Linked DNA regions of Diceros bicornis minor. Each later gene encodes a partner of the first gene's protein in a complex. Links are inferred from orthologs where the notes say so. Each region holds a gene or a part of one and is shown in the gene's direction. Other genes may lie near its edges. The genes, in order: FGFR1, KL and FRS2.

The links.
Region 2: the proteins of FGFR1 (region 1) and KL are in contact, whole or in part, in a cryo-EM structure (PDB 7YSH), measured with the Homo sapiens proteins. The link is inferred for Diceros bicornis minor from reciprocal best matches to the Homo sapiens genes FGFR1 and KL. Residues at the interface, in NP_075598.2 of Homo sapiens: Asn272, Gln288, Leu290, His292, Ile293, Asn296, Gly301, Pro302, Leu305, Pro306, Tyr307, Val308, Gln309, Ile310, Leu311, Lys312, Glu322, Leu326, His327, Leu328, Arg329, Asn330, Glu334, Asp335, Thr340, Leu342, Leu349, His351; in NP_004786.2 of Homo sapiens: Ser539, Gln540, Phe541, Asp543, Leu544, Asn545, Val546, Tyr547, Leu548, Trp549, Asp550, Val551, Lys555, Arg556, Leu557, Val560, Val563, Thr565, Lys566, Arg568, Tyr571, Val573, Ala576, Glu625, Arg628.
Region 3: the proteins of FGFR1 (region 1) and FRS2 are in contact, whole or in part, in an NMR structure (PDB 1XR0), measured with the Homo sapiens proteins. The link is inferred for Diceros bicornis minor from reciprocal best matches to the Homo sapiens genes FGFR1 and FRS2. Residues at the interface, in NP_075598.2 of Homo sapiens: His409, Ser410, Gln411, Met412, Ala413, Val414, His415, Lys416, Leu417, Ala418, Lys419, Ser420, Ile421, Pro422, Leu423, Arg424, Arg425, Gln426, Val427, Thr428, Val429, Ser430; in NP_001036020.1 of Homo sapiens: Asn25, Val26, Asp27, Asp28, Leu33, Leu47, Thr49, Arg50, Asp53, Ser54, Val55, Trp57, Leu60, Cys61, Leu62, Arg63, Arg64, Tyr65, Gly66, Tyr67, Asp68, Ser69, Leu71, Ser73, Phe74, Gln81, Thr82, Ile86, Phe87, Ala88.

Annotation. Positions count from the first base shown.
Region 1 is NC_080768.1:35,047,864-35,051,605, reverse strand, and holds the start of FGFR1 (fibroblast growth factor receptor 1), read left to right. Parts: upstream 1-1,159; 5' UTR 1,160-1,780; intron 1,781-3,742. UniProt on the Homo sapiens protein: Tyrosine-protein kinase that acts as a cell-surface receptor for fibroblast growth factors and plays an essential role in the regulation of embryonic development, cell proliferation, differentiation and migration.
Region 2 is NC_080748.1:15,778,922-15,782,663, forward strand, and holds the start of KL (klotho), read left to right. Parts: upstream 1-1,028; coding exon 1,029-1,847; intron 1,848-3,742. UniProt on the Homo sapiens protein: May have weak glycosidase activity towards glucuronylated steroids. However, it lacks essential active site Glu residues at positions 239 and 872, suggesting it may be inactive as a glycosidase in vivo.
Region 3 is NC_080756.1:1,868,649-1,872,390, reverse strand, and holds the start of FRS2 (fibroblast growth factor receptor substrate 2), read left to right. Parts: upstream 1-1,058; 5' UTR 1,059-1,138; intron 1,139-1,405; exon of another isoform or gene 1,406-1,798; intron 1,799-3,742. UniProt on the Homo sapiens protein: Adapter protein that links activated FGR and NGF receptors to downstream signaling pathways.

The DNA of each region.
Region 1 (3,742 bases):
TTTGTGTGACACTTTCGGTGCCCTGACATCCCTTATTTTATTTGATTCTCATGACAACCTTGTAAGGGACTCCCAACCAACTGGGGGAAACGTGTAAACAAGTCTTGATTTTTTCAGACACATGACGTCCAAAATCAAACAGTTCATAAGTAGGGGACCAGAATGGAGGTATCTTTCATACCTAGTGTGGCATCCTCCTCACCCTACCAGTGGTCCCCATCTTGGCACCACGGAGCCATAAAAAAAAGTACAGACTCTTTGCTCCTTCCTGGGACAGCCTGATTCCTCAGGTCTGAGCAGGTCCAAGAATATGTATTTTTCAGAAGTTCCTCAGAGGACTCATGTACATTTGGATTAGGGAACCACTTAGATTATACCATCCTATGGAAGGACCCAGGGGAAAGGGCATTTTAGCCACTTTTCCTGGGGTTCCATAGAGTGCTGGAGAGTGCCCTGGGTGGGAACGGATTAATTTCCAAACTAGCAACACCCTCCAGCTCCCTCCACTCATTCTTTACTTTCGAAACATTTACTGCAGGCTGGAGACTTCTGGAGGCCAAGAAGTGCGCTGTAGAATTTACCGGACCCAGCTCCCCGTGGACCCCCAAACCAAAACTATGTAGCTGGGGAACGTGAGATGGAAGGAGAGGGTCTGAGGAGGGGTTCGACCTTCTCCTGAATAAAAATAGCTTGTATTTCTTGAGTAACTATGTGCCAAGCCCTCACTTAATCCTCAACCCTATGCGGCAAGTATTATTATCGCCCTTTTACAGATGAGAAAACTGAGATGTCGAGTGAGAAAAGCATTTCTCCAAGACACACAGTCAGACTTCCAAAGCCCGTGCTACCACGGACAACCTTCGGGCTACAAGTCTCCTAACCTCACCCCCTAACCCGTTAATGTGTCCACGGCTTGAAATTCGGGCGCCCTCCTGGCGGTGCTCAGATGGAGGGGCACGCGCGCCAGAGGAGACCAGCGTGCAGGGAAGGAGGGGCAGAGTTCCAGGCAGCTCCGCCGGCTCCCCCCTTCCCGGGGGCCGCGGCTCGGGAACTACAAGGCCCAGCAGGCTGCTGCAGGGGGAGGAGGAGGAGGTGGGACCAGCGCGGGGTGGGAGTGAGAGAGCGAGCCCTTGCGCCTCGCCGGCGCACAGCGCTCGGAGCGCTCCTGCGGGCACTGGTGCGGCGGGCTCGGCAGCAGGCGGCAGCGAGCAGGAGCCCGAACTCTGGTCCAGCCGCCGCGCGCGGAGGAGCCCGGGCTGTGCCCGGAGCTGGGCGGCAACGTCCGGAGAGGACCGAGACTCTGCTTAGCGCATTGCGGCGACCTCGCCTTCCCCGGCCGCGAGCGCGCGCCGCAGCTGGAAAAGCAGCGGAGACCGAGGACTTTTCGCTGGTCCGAGGGGCGCCCCGCAGGGCGCACCGTACCAGGGCTGCAGTCGGGCACGCCGCGGCGCCGGGGCGATGGAGCCCGGTCTGCAAGAAGCTTGAGGCGCCGCCGCCCGGTTCTGGAAAGGGGGGCCACAGGGTCTGGAGACCCCGGGCGGCGGACGGGAGCCCTCCCCCCGCCCCGCCTCCGGGGCACCAGCTTCGGCTCCATTGTTCCCGCCCGAGCTGGAGGCGCCGAGCACCGAGCGCCACCGGGAGTCGAGCGCCGGCCGCCGGGCTCTTGCGGCCCCGCCAGGACCCGAGCGGAGCCCGGGGGTGGCGGGCCGGAGCCGGGGACGCGGGCGCCCGCACAAGCCACGGCGGACTCTCCAGAGGCGGAACCGCAGCGCCGAGTGAGGTAAGAGCCGCGGCGCCCCCAGATCCGGGGCGGGCTTGGCGTCCCGAGCGGCCCCCGGCGCCGGAGCCTCCCGGCTGCGCGCTCTCCCCACCGAAGCCCAGTCGGATCCGGCGCCTCCCTCTACTCCTTACCCGCCCCCCTCCAACTCCCGACTCCCCCCCAGCGCTCTGCGCCCCCCTTTTGTCTCCCCTCCCTTCCCTCCGCTCGCGTCGCCTCTGCGCCCCCTCCCCGCGCTCGTCCCGCCGCTCCTCCTGCCGCCCAACTTTTCCGCCAACTCGCGCTGAGGAGCTGGCGAGGCGGCGGCGGCGGCTCCGCGGTGAGTCCGGGGAGGGACAGGGCCGGGGCGAAGGCGGCAGCCGCCCTCAGTGTCCTCGGACTGGGGAGGAGGGCGGGAGTGGGCAGCGAGAGGGGGAGTGTGTGTGTGTGTGCGCGTGTGCGTGTGTGTGTGTGTTGCATTCCACTCCGTCTCTTTTTTGAATTGGGGACTCACCCCAATTCAGCAGGTAGCTTTGGGTGGAACCCTAAAAATTCAGGGTGTTTCTAAGTCCTTTTCCACCTCCGGGAAAGTCTGGGGTCGGGGTTTGGCGGGGGGGCGCATGATGAGGCAAGGAACTGGAGGAGTAGGTTAGCTTCTCTCCGATTAGGTTTTAAGGAGGTGTCGTCACCAAATGGCTGCATCTGCTTTAGCGGAGAGCGAGAAAGGAATTCCCTTTTCCAGAGGGGGTTATCTTCTATTTAGTCCATCTCAGAAAGGGTCGGAAGTTTGGGGAAGGGGAGGGCGCCCAGCGGGTGATGTTAAGCCCCATTATGGGGTCGGGGGGAGGGGAATGTTCAGTTCCAATCTGGTTCTAGGAGGTGGGGGAAGGGATGAGGGTTTTGTCCGGTGCGGTTCACTCGGCAGCGATGCATGTTGCTTCTCTGGCCCAGACCCTTCTGCCCCCTGCTCCCCTCTCGCATTATGTTTGGGGTTGGGAGAGAGGGGCTAGAACCCTCATCTGCAGAGGAATTTATGGACGTTATAGATGGAGTTCATTTAACACATGTCCTATGAAGGCAGCCAGCCGCCTTTGGGGAGGGGGTGTGAGACCAGCTTCTCTTTTCTGGGCCCGGAAGCTGTTCGTCCATTTAAAAGTTTCTGGGTGTCTTTCACCCCCAACACTTTTCCCCCCATTTTCCAGATGTAGCGGCCACATCTGGTTCCGTTTCTCCCCACACGGGTACACCGCAGCCACATTATTAACATCCCTCTTCCTCCCTTCTCTCTCCCCCAGATTAAAACTGAGATTCTTCGACTGGTCCTTACCACCTTCCTCTGTAAAATTTCTTAAGACTTGGAGGCTTTGGGATTGAGGGAGAAAAGAAGGTTACCCTGGATCTCGGGTTATTTAGGATCAGATGGTGGTGGTGCTTTCTAGCTTGTGCAGAAAAGAGGCATCGTGGGCAGGATCGTAGGAGATAGGGCCAAGGTCTTAGGGGGTGTCACTTGCGAAAGGTTCATCTGCCAGAGGTGGCCTCTTTGGCCATGGGTCTGACCCACAACTGTCCCTGACGGAAGTTTCTGGAACCAAAGCGTTGCTTTTTCGTCCCTTCAGTTACAGCTGGAGCAGCGGGAGCGTCGGACTCTGTCCGGAGCCCGCCGTCCGGTCTCCGGCCGCCCGGCGGTGGCGTCACGCGTCCCTTTTCCACCCTCTCTGGAGCGAGCCCGTGCGCGGCGGCCGAGGGTGTGTATGGGGGCGGGGGCTGTTGCGTGCTCCTTTGCGTTTTAAGGAGCTATTTGGGCTGCAGTCCCCGGAAATTGAAGTGGGCCAGTTTGCCACTTAAATAACGGCTCCAGGTTTGAAAGCAGGGGTGGGATTGTTGAGGAGGTTTTGGTAAAATCCTTTAAGGTAGGAAAGCACCTTATGGCCCAAAGTGGCGGCAGGGTGGGGCGAGTTGGTCTCTCTCACCCTCTCCTTTCCAGTC
Region 2 (3,742 bases), on another chromosome or scaffold:
CGTGCACAACTTTGCCCAGATAAGTTACTTGCTGAAAGCTAAAACGTGATTATTCATAAAACAGATGCAAAAGGATAATAAATGTGAATGACAGTCACTCAAAGTCGAAACCTTGGTGTTTTGTTTTTTGTTTGTTTTTAGAAGAACAATCAACAACTGTCATTTGAAGTTCACCAAGTAATTCTGCAAGATCTAATTCAAGAACAAGTACTGGTTTGAAATGGTTAAAAGATAAGAGTAAGAAGGACAGTACAGCAAAGTTTCAACACAACCCATACATCTCCTCTGTCTTACTCCAAGGCTTCCTAGATTGGAGCCTGGAGGACGGGCCATCCAGCCCTGCGCGAGGGGGGTGGCTCCCCACGCGAGCATCTGACCCAAAGACCTTAAGGGAAAGTCCGCCACGAGTCCTCTCACAACATTCCAAGTTCCGACCTAGCTCTCCTCATCGTGCCCTCCCAATACGCTTTCAGCCAACTCCTAATCGGCTCTAGCAATGTCGATCTAAAGCTTTTCTCGGCCTCCGAGTGGGAGAAAAGAGGAAGCAGGTGCTTCCCGGCCGGCGGACTCCGCGAGGGCAGGCAAAGATGCGCCCAACTCGGGGCAAGTTGGTTGGCCGCCTTCCCTCCTCGACGCGCACCGGCTCCGCGGCTTCTTCCAGGAAGGAGCGCGGATGGGAGAGAGAAGGCGGCGCGGAGAGAACTTGCGTCGCCGAGCCATCCTCAGCGGCTCCCGGGCGCAGCGAGGAACAGGTGCCTTTTCTCCGACGTCCGGGAGTGGCGCCTGCTGCACCTTGCCCGCTGTCGCGCCCCCTCCCGGGACACCCCATCGCCCTTTGCGCCCCCGCCCTCCCCCAGCCCGTCCCCCCCGATTCCAGGGTAGGGGAGGCGCCGGCTCGCAGGTAATTATTGTCAGCAGGGCCCGCCGGGGAAGCGGGGGTGGGCGCGCCGGCGGGGGGCGGGCGGCGCGGCGGGGCGCGGGCATAAAGGGGCGCAGCGCGGCGCCCCAGCGCCCGGCTCCCGCGCAGCATGCCCGCCCGCGCCCCGCCGCGCCGCCCGCGGCCGCCGCCGCCCCTGCCGCTGCCGCTGCTCCTGCTGCTGGCCCTGGGCGGCCGCCGCCTGCGCGCCGAGCCCGGCGACGGGGAGCAGACCTGGGCCCGCTTCGCGCGCCCTCCGGCCCCCGAGGCCGCGGGCCTCATCCACGACACCTTCCCCGACGGCTTCCTCTGGGCCGTGGGCAGCGCCGCCTACCAGACGGAGGGCGGCTGGCAGCAGCACGGCAAGGGCGCGTCCATCTGGGACACGTTCACCCACCAACCCCCGGCGCCCTTAGGCGGTCCCCTGGTAGCCGGCCTACCGACGGGCGCCCCCTCGCCGTCCCCACCTGCCACCGGGGACGTGGCCAGCGACGGCTACAACAACGTCTTCCGAGACACGGAGGGGTTGCGTGAACTCGGGGTCACTCACTACCGCTTCTCCATCTCGTGGGCGCGAGTGCTCCCCAATGGCAGCGCGGGCGCCCCAAACCGCGAGGGGCTGCGCTACTACCGGCGCTTGCTGGAGCGGCTGCGGGAGCTGGGCGTGCAGCCCGTGGTCACCCTGTACCACTGGGACCTGCCCCAGCGCCTGCAGGACGCCTACGGCGGCTGGGCCAACCGCGCCCTGGCCGACCACTTCAGAGATTACGCCGAGCTCTGTTTCCGCCACTTCGGCGGCCAGGTCAAGTATTGGATCACCATCGACAACCCCTACGTGGTGGCCTGGCACGGCTATGCCACAGGGCGCCTGGCCCCTGGCGTCCGGGGCAGCCCGCAGCTCGGGTACCTGGTGGCGCACAACCTCCTCCTGGTGAGTTCGAGGGGCCAGGCGGAGGGTCACGCGGGGAGAGGGCCCCTGGAGACGCCAGGGGCAAGAGGGGTGCCTGAGCCTCCAGCTCAGACAAGGCTCCATTTGACCAAGTTTGTGAGGTCACCTAGAATTGCCCCCCGAGGGGAAATGAACAGCTTGGGCTTCCCTTGGAAGGCGTGGAGTTGGGAATGGGAGGGAGATCCCGCGTTGGGCGCGCGAGTGAGTGCCCTTTGGCGCACATTCGTCAAAAAGAAATTAGAATCAGTTTCTTCAGTGAGAGGAGGGAGCTCCTTTCTCTGGGTCTAGGGGAATTCCTAGAGGTGAGGCGGGGAGAATTTACGAGTAGTAGCTACAGGGAGATGAGGAGGGATGAAAGACACGAGTTTGTTCGGAAGCCGCACAAATAGCATTACTCTGCTAGAGTTTGTGGTGATGTCATGAGTTCAATGTAAATCCTGTAAGATCTGTGTTGCTTGTGGCACAAGTTCACACTGCAGCAAATGCGAAGGTGTCAAAATCCCATCTTCTGGGAGAGTTTAAACTGTCTTTGGGAGTTCCTTCTGTGGCAGGGGACTGCTGCATCCACCAACTTGACTGAATCATCAGGAGTCTGAAGACTCCTTACACATTCTTAAGCAAAGCTAGCCATAAAAATACAGAAACAGCTACAGGGTAATGTAGATTGTGTCTTACAACAACTGTATTTCCAGGATGCTCTCTCCAATTGAAAGGATTCCTCGGGGATGAGATTATTAGCTGACAAAATTGATTTTAACACCCTTGTGTAAAAGGCTTAATACATTTTGACAGCAGGAAGTACTGACATGCCATGATAAAGTTGTCTCTCAAATAATTCTTCCTCCTTTTTCTCCTTTACTTAGTGTTCAAGATTAGGTCCCATTGATTTGGGGGATCATTTATAATAATGTCAGTGTTGGTACACTTCATAGAGTTTTGTATCATGAGAGAATATTTTATGTGTATGTGCAGACATTTGCATGAAACTTTAAATGGGTAACTTCTGGTACTGTATTTTGGTGATTTGTGGGCCTACTGGAAGACCTATTTTTAAATTTAGAATTAAATTACATATTTTGAACAAATTCAAGACAAAGACCACTTCTGCACACTTATAATTGAAGCCATAGGTAACTGAGGCAGAACAGTGCTGGGCTGTTGAGCTGACTTAGTGCTCTGAGCTGCCGGTAATGTTGTAATAATGGCTAAATTAGATTGTATGTTAGCTCCACAAAAACTGTTTGCTACAGATCATAAAAGAATGTTGGACTTTGATGAAAAAATAAATGTGATTTTAGTGATTTCCTTTTGATATGTATCTTTTCATTAAGATACTTTAGAGCAATGGTAATAAACTTTTTCAGTCTGTCAGTCCTTTTAAAGAATCAAGACTCCAAACACCACCTGTTTATCGTTGATGATAGAAAAACTATGGGAAGAATTGGCTCCTCTTTTGAAGAAAACATAAGCAAATTTCAGTTCATACCAGAAACAAATAAGAGATTTGTGGACCAGCTGGAGGACCTAAGAGACCATTTCTGCAAAATCACTACTTTAGATTTAAGTCATGCAAATTCTCTTTTTAGAGTGCATGTAATAAACTCTGTATGTATACGGAAGTCGTCAGTTGTTATTATAGTGACTTATGTGATCATTTCATTTATACGATAAGGAGTTGGGACTGAGGAGCTTTCTGGTACTCTGCTATTTTAAATAGCCAACATGCTTTTTATTCGTGTGCCCACTCTCGGCCCTTTGATTAACTTTTCAGTTATATTTCTGTATCCTTACAGAAAAAACTTGCCAAACACTAACCATCTTTCCCAGAAATGCAGTGGACTTTGTATTCATAAGAAATTAGTAACAAGTGGATCCTT
Region 3 (3,742 bases), on another chromosome or scaffold:
GCTCATCATGCATTTTCATTTTGAATTCCTACAATGATACACAGATGATTATATATGTACCTGTACACACACACACATTCATCAAATATACTACAAATGAGGAATCTGAGGCTTAGAGGTCAAGCAACTTGCCTAGGGTGAAAAAGTAAATGTAAATACAGGATCCAGACAATAAAATTCCAGAGCCCCCAGCTCTTGGCCTCTGCTGAAATTCCAAGTGATGATAGAATACATACAGGAGTATAATTTGGTTCCTGCCCTTCAAAAATTTAAGACTCTTGTTAGGGGTAGATGAGATTTATACACACGACACGAGTTAAAATAAAATCGGGAGCCGACCTTTGTGGTGGCATTGGGCTTGGTACCTTTGACAGGTTTCCTTCTCCCAAGATGTAGAGACCAGGCCAATGTCAGAGGATTTGGGACGGTTCCTTATACAGCGCCTACCCGTAGGAAGCGCTCAGTAAATGTAACTCATGATTCTTAGAGCAGGTGGACTGGAGCGGAGGGACACTGGAGTCAGGAGGCCGGGGTACGCGCAGGGCCCCGCACCTCAATTCTCTGAGCCTGGGTTTCCTCGTCTGTCAAATCAGGCGGCCGGGTAGATGGGACAGGCCCAGGGGCAGGGGCGGGGCCGCCGCGGCCGGGGGCGGGGCCTCGGGGTTGACGGGCAGCCGGGGGCGGGGCCGCGGGACAGCCGGGGGCGGGGGGACTCGGGGCAGCCTGGGGCGGGGCCGCGGGGTTTGACGAGCAGCCGGGGGCGGGGCCGCGGGGCAGTCGGGGGCGGGGACTCGGGGTAGCCGGGGGCGGGGCCGCGGGAGTGTCAACGAGCAGTCGGGGGCGGGGCCTCCGGGCAGCCTGGGGCGGGGCCGCGGGGGTGTCGGCGAGCAGTCGGGGGCTGGGCCGCGGGCGCCGCGCGGAGAGGCCCCGCCCCCGGGAGGCCCTGTCAGCCCCAGCCCGCGAGCAGTTCCGGTGCCAAACCCTCCCTGCCCCGCGCCCCCGGAAGTGCTTTTCCAAGGTTCGGGCCGGAGAGGCCTTGCGGGCACAGCGGGGGAGGCTGGATCGGCTCCGAGCGGGGTTCCTGCCGGGTCGGAGCCCGGGGGCCCGCGCGCGCCCGCCCTCCGCGCCCGGGCCGACGGTGAGTGGCCGGGGAGCCGACTGCGCCGGCCGGGGCCGCGTCGGGCGGGCGCCCTGGGGCCCCGCTGCCCCTCCGGGCTGCGGGCTCGGCTGTCGGGTTCGGGCAGGAAGGGGCGCGGGCCGCCGCGGTCGTCGCGGACCCGGGGCGGGAGGAGCCGGCGGCGGGCCGCGGGTGGGCGGGGCGGGCCGGGGAGGGGGCTCCGGGCGCCTTGTGGCTGTGGGACTCGGGGTGGGTGGCTGGGCCTCCGTCCCTCCGACCCCTCTTCTGCGCCCGGGTCCTCGCGCCGCCTCCGGGGTCTGGTGTCTGGGTTGCCCTGGGCTGGGCGCCGGAACAGCGGACTCTGCCCGGGCCCAGGTCCGGCTTTCGCGCGCCGCGCGCTGTCGGGGGCTCGGGGCTGAGCCGGGGTCCCGGGGTCGCCGCTCAGCCCGGGGCGGGGCGATGCGGGGAGGAGGCCGGGATCTTCGGCAGGCTCTTCGTCCATACTCGCTTCGGGGTTGCCCGGGATCGGTTTGGACTGCGCTGGGGGCCGGTTCTGGATACGTGGGTCGCTGTGGCACCAGCGTGCCTCCTGCTGTCTTTACTCCTTGGGAAGCTCGCTCAAGCTGTTGTTGAAGTCGCTTCTTAAGAAAACAACTTGCTAGAGGAAAATCAGTAGTTCAGGTAGGTTCCCTTATTTTCTTGCAGATTTAAAAGAATGATGCTGTTCTGTAATCTGCTAATCTCCAAATTCCTGTGGCTCTCTGAGGTCATGCTGGTTTGATGAGTTCAATCTGCGGTTGTTGCACGAATGGGTTGTAGATTGTTGGAGAATTATACTCTCTGTGCCCTGAAGTTTGTATACTTTCATAGTTAGATCTGTCATTTTCCTTAACTTTTAAAGAAACATTGTTCTCGGTAACCCCTAAGAGGCCCCGTGTACTGTTACAGCTGTTGCTGCAATGCAGAGGTTCACATAGGTGGGCAGAGGTGTTTTGTTTTATGTTGTTGTTGTTGTTTTAACTTATGAAGTGTTTACCTTGGGTAAATTGAACATTTCCTAGTGGAAAAAGTGGCGTGTAGTTATTTTTAGTGAACAGATTTTAGGTAATAAACTGCTCCTGAAAGGTTTGTAGAAATGAGAGTTTTCCGCTTTTAATAGTGATTTTTTGTGGGGAAGATCAGCCCTGAGCTAACATCCATGCCAATCCTCCTCTTTTTTTGCTGAGGAAGACTGGTCCTGGGCTAACATCCGTGCCCATCTTCCTCCACTTTTTTTTTTCTTATATGGGACACCGCCACAGCATGGCTTGACAAGTGGTGCGTCCATGCGCGCTTGGGATCCGAACCCCAGGCCGCCAATGGCGGAGCGCGAGCACTTAACTGCTACCCCTCCGGGCCGGTCCAAATAGTGATTTTTAGGATCCTAAGGGAATGCAGTCCCTGCAGGTGGTGACTCTGGGCAGGTGACCATTGTTTTCGCGTGTATAAAGTACACACAATCACCGTTGTGAAACCAGTGACATGTTCCTGCACTTCTCATCTGGTGCTTATATTAGGATTCATACTGTAGTTTTTTGAGTACTTATCTCATTCTCTCTCCTCCCACCACTGGAAGGGGAGGTAATACGGTGAATTAGGGAAAATAGACTGAAGTGACAAGTTCAGTGAGCTGCCTATGCAAAAGAACATTTATTTCAGGGTTGTTGATCTTCAGCAGGCAAAGGGTGGATGATTTTTAAAGTCTCTGGAAAAAGTTGTGGAGGAAGATTAGTTGCCCAACTTTTAGATTTAGGAAGAAAATTTAGATTCTTAGCTGTTTGAAGTGCTTCATTGTTTAGAGCATAAGGTTGGAATATTGGAATTTAGAGAATCTGGAAAAGGAGTCAAGTTAGATATGGTTATAGATCCATTACTGAAAGTATGGTGTAACAGTGGTTTTGAAGGAAAACATTTCAAGAATTGTAAGAACAGAAAAGGTACTTGGGGAAAATCGGATATGCTTGGGCATTGTATATTTTATTATGTTCATGTCAATTCAACAGATATTGGACATTTGCTTTCTTCGGCATCAAGCTACGTTAGGCAACCATGTAGGAGCGTATAAAGATACAGCCATAGCATGTTTTGGCAGTAATTTTCTAAGTTGTGTCAGAAATCATGAAGAGGTGAATTGTATTTAAGCATATTAAAATTTTTTTCTAATTGGAAGGTGGTGTGTGCTTCATGAAAAGCACTGTTAGGCATTAGGGGATACAAAGATTAAGTCTTTGGTCTTTAGAAATTTGAAATCTAGAAGGGGATGTAAGATGTTTACATAAAAATTTACAACATAAATATATGTAAATACTTAATATGTGAAGGTTTGACCTAAAGTTTGGAGTTGTAGGAAAGGAAAGTGGGTTTATTTTTAGCTGGAGTGATCATGGAAAGTGGTGGAGGTATAGTAATCCATATGAAGGTGGCTCTGAAGCTATTATTTATTGAGCACCTAGCACTACGCTCTATGCTAGTTGCTTTGCATACATTTTCTAAGCTTCACAACAACATATAAGCGTCTTAATAATGAGGACACTGATGCTCAAATATGTTAAGTAGCTTGCCCGGACTATGTAGCTAGCCGGTAAC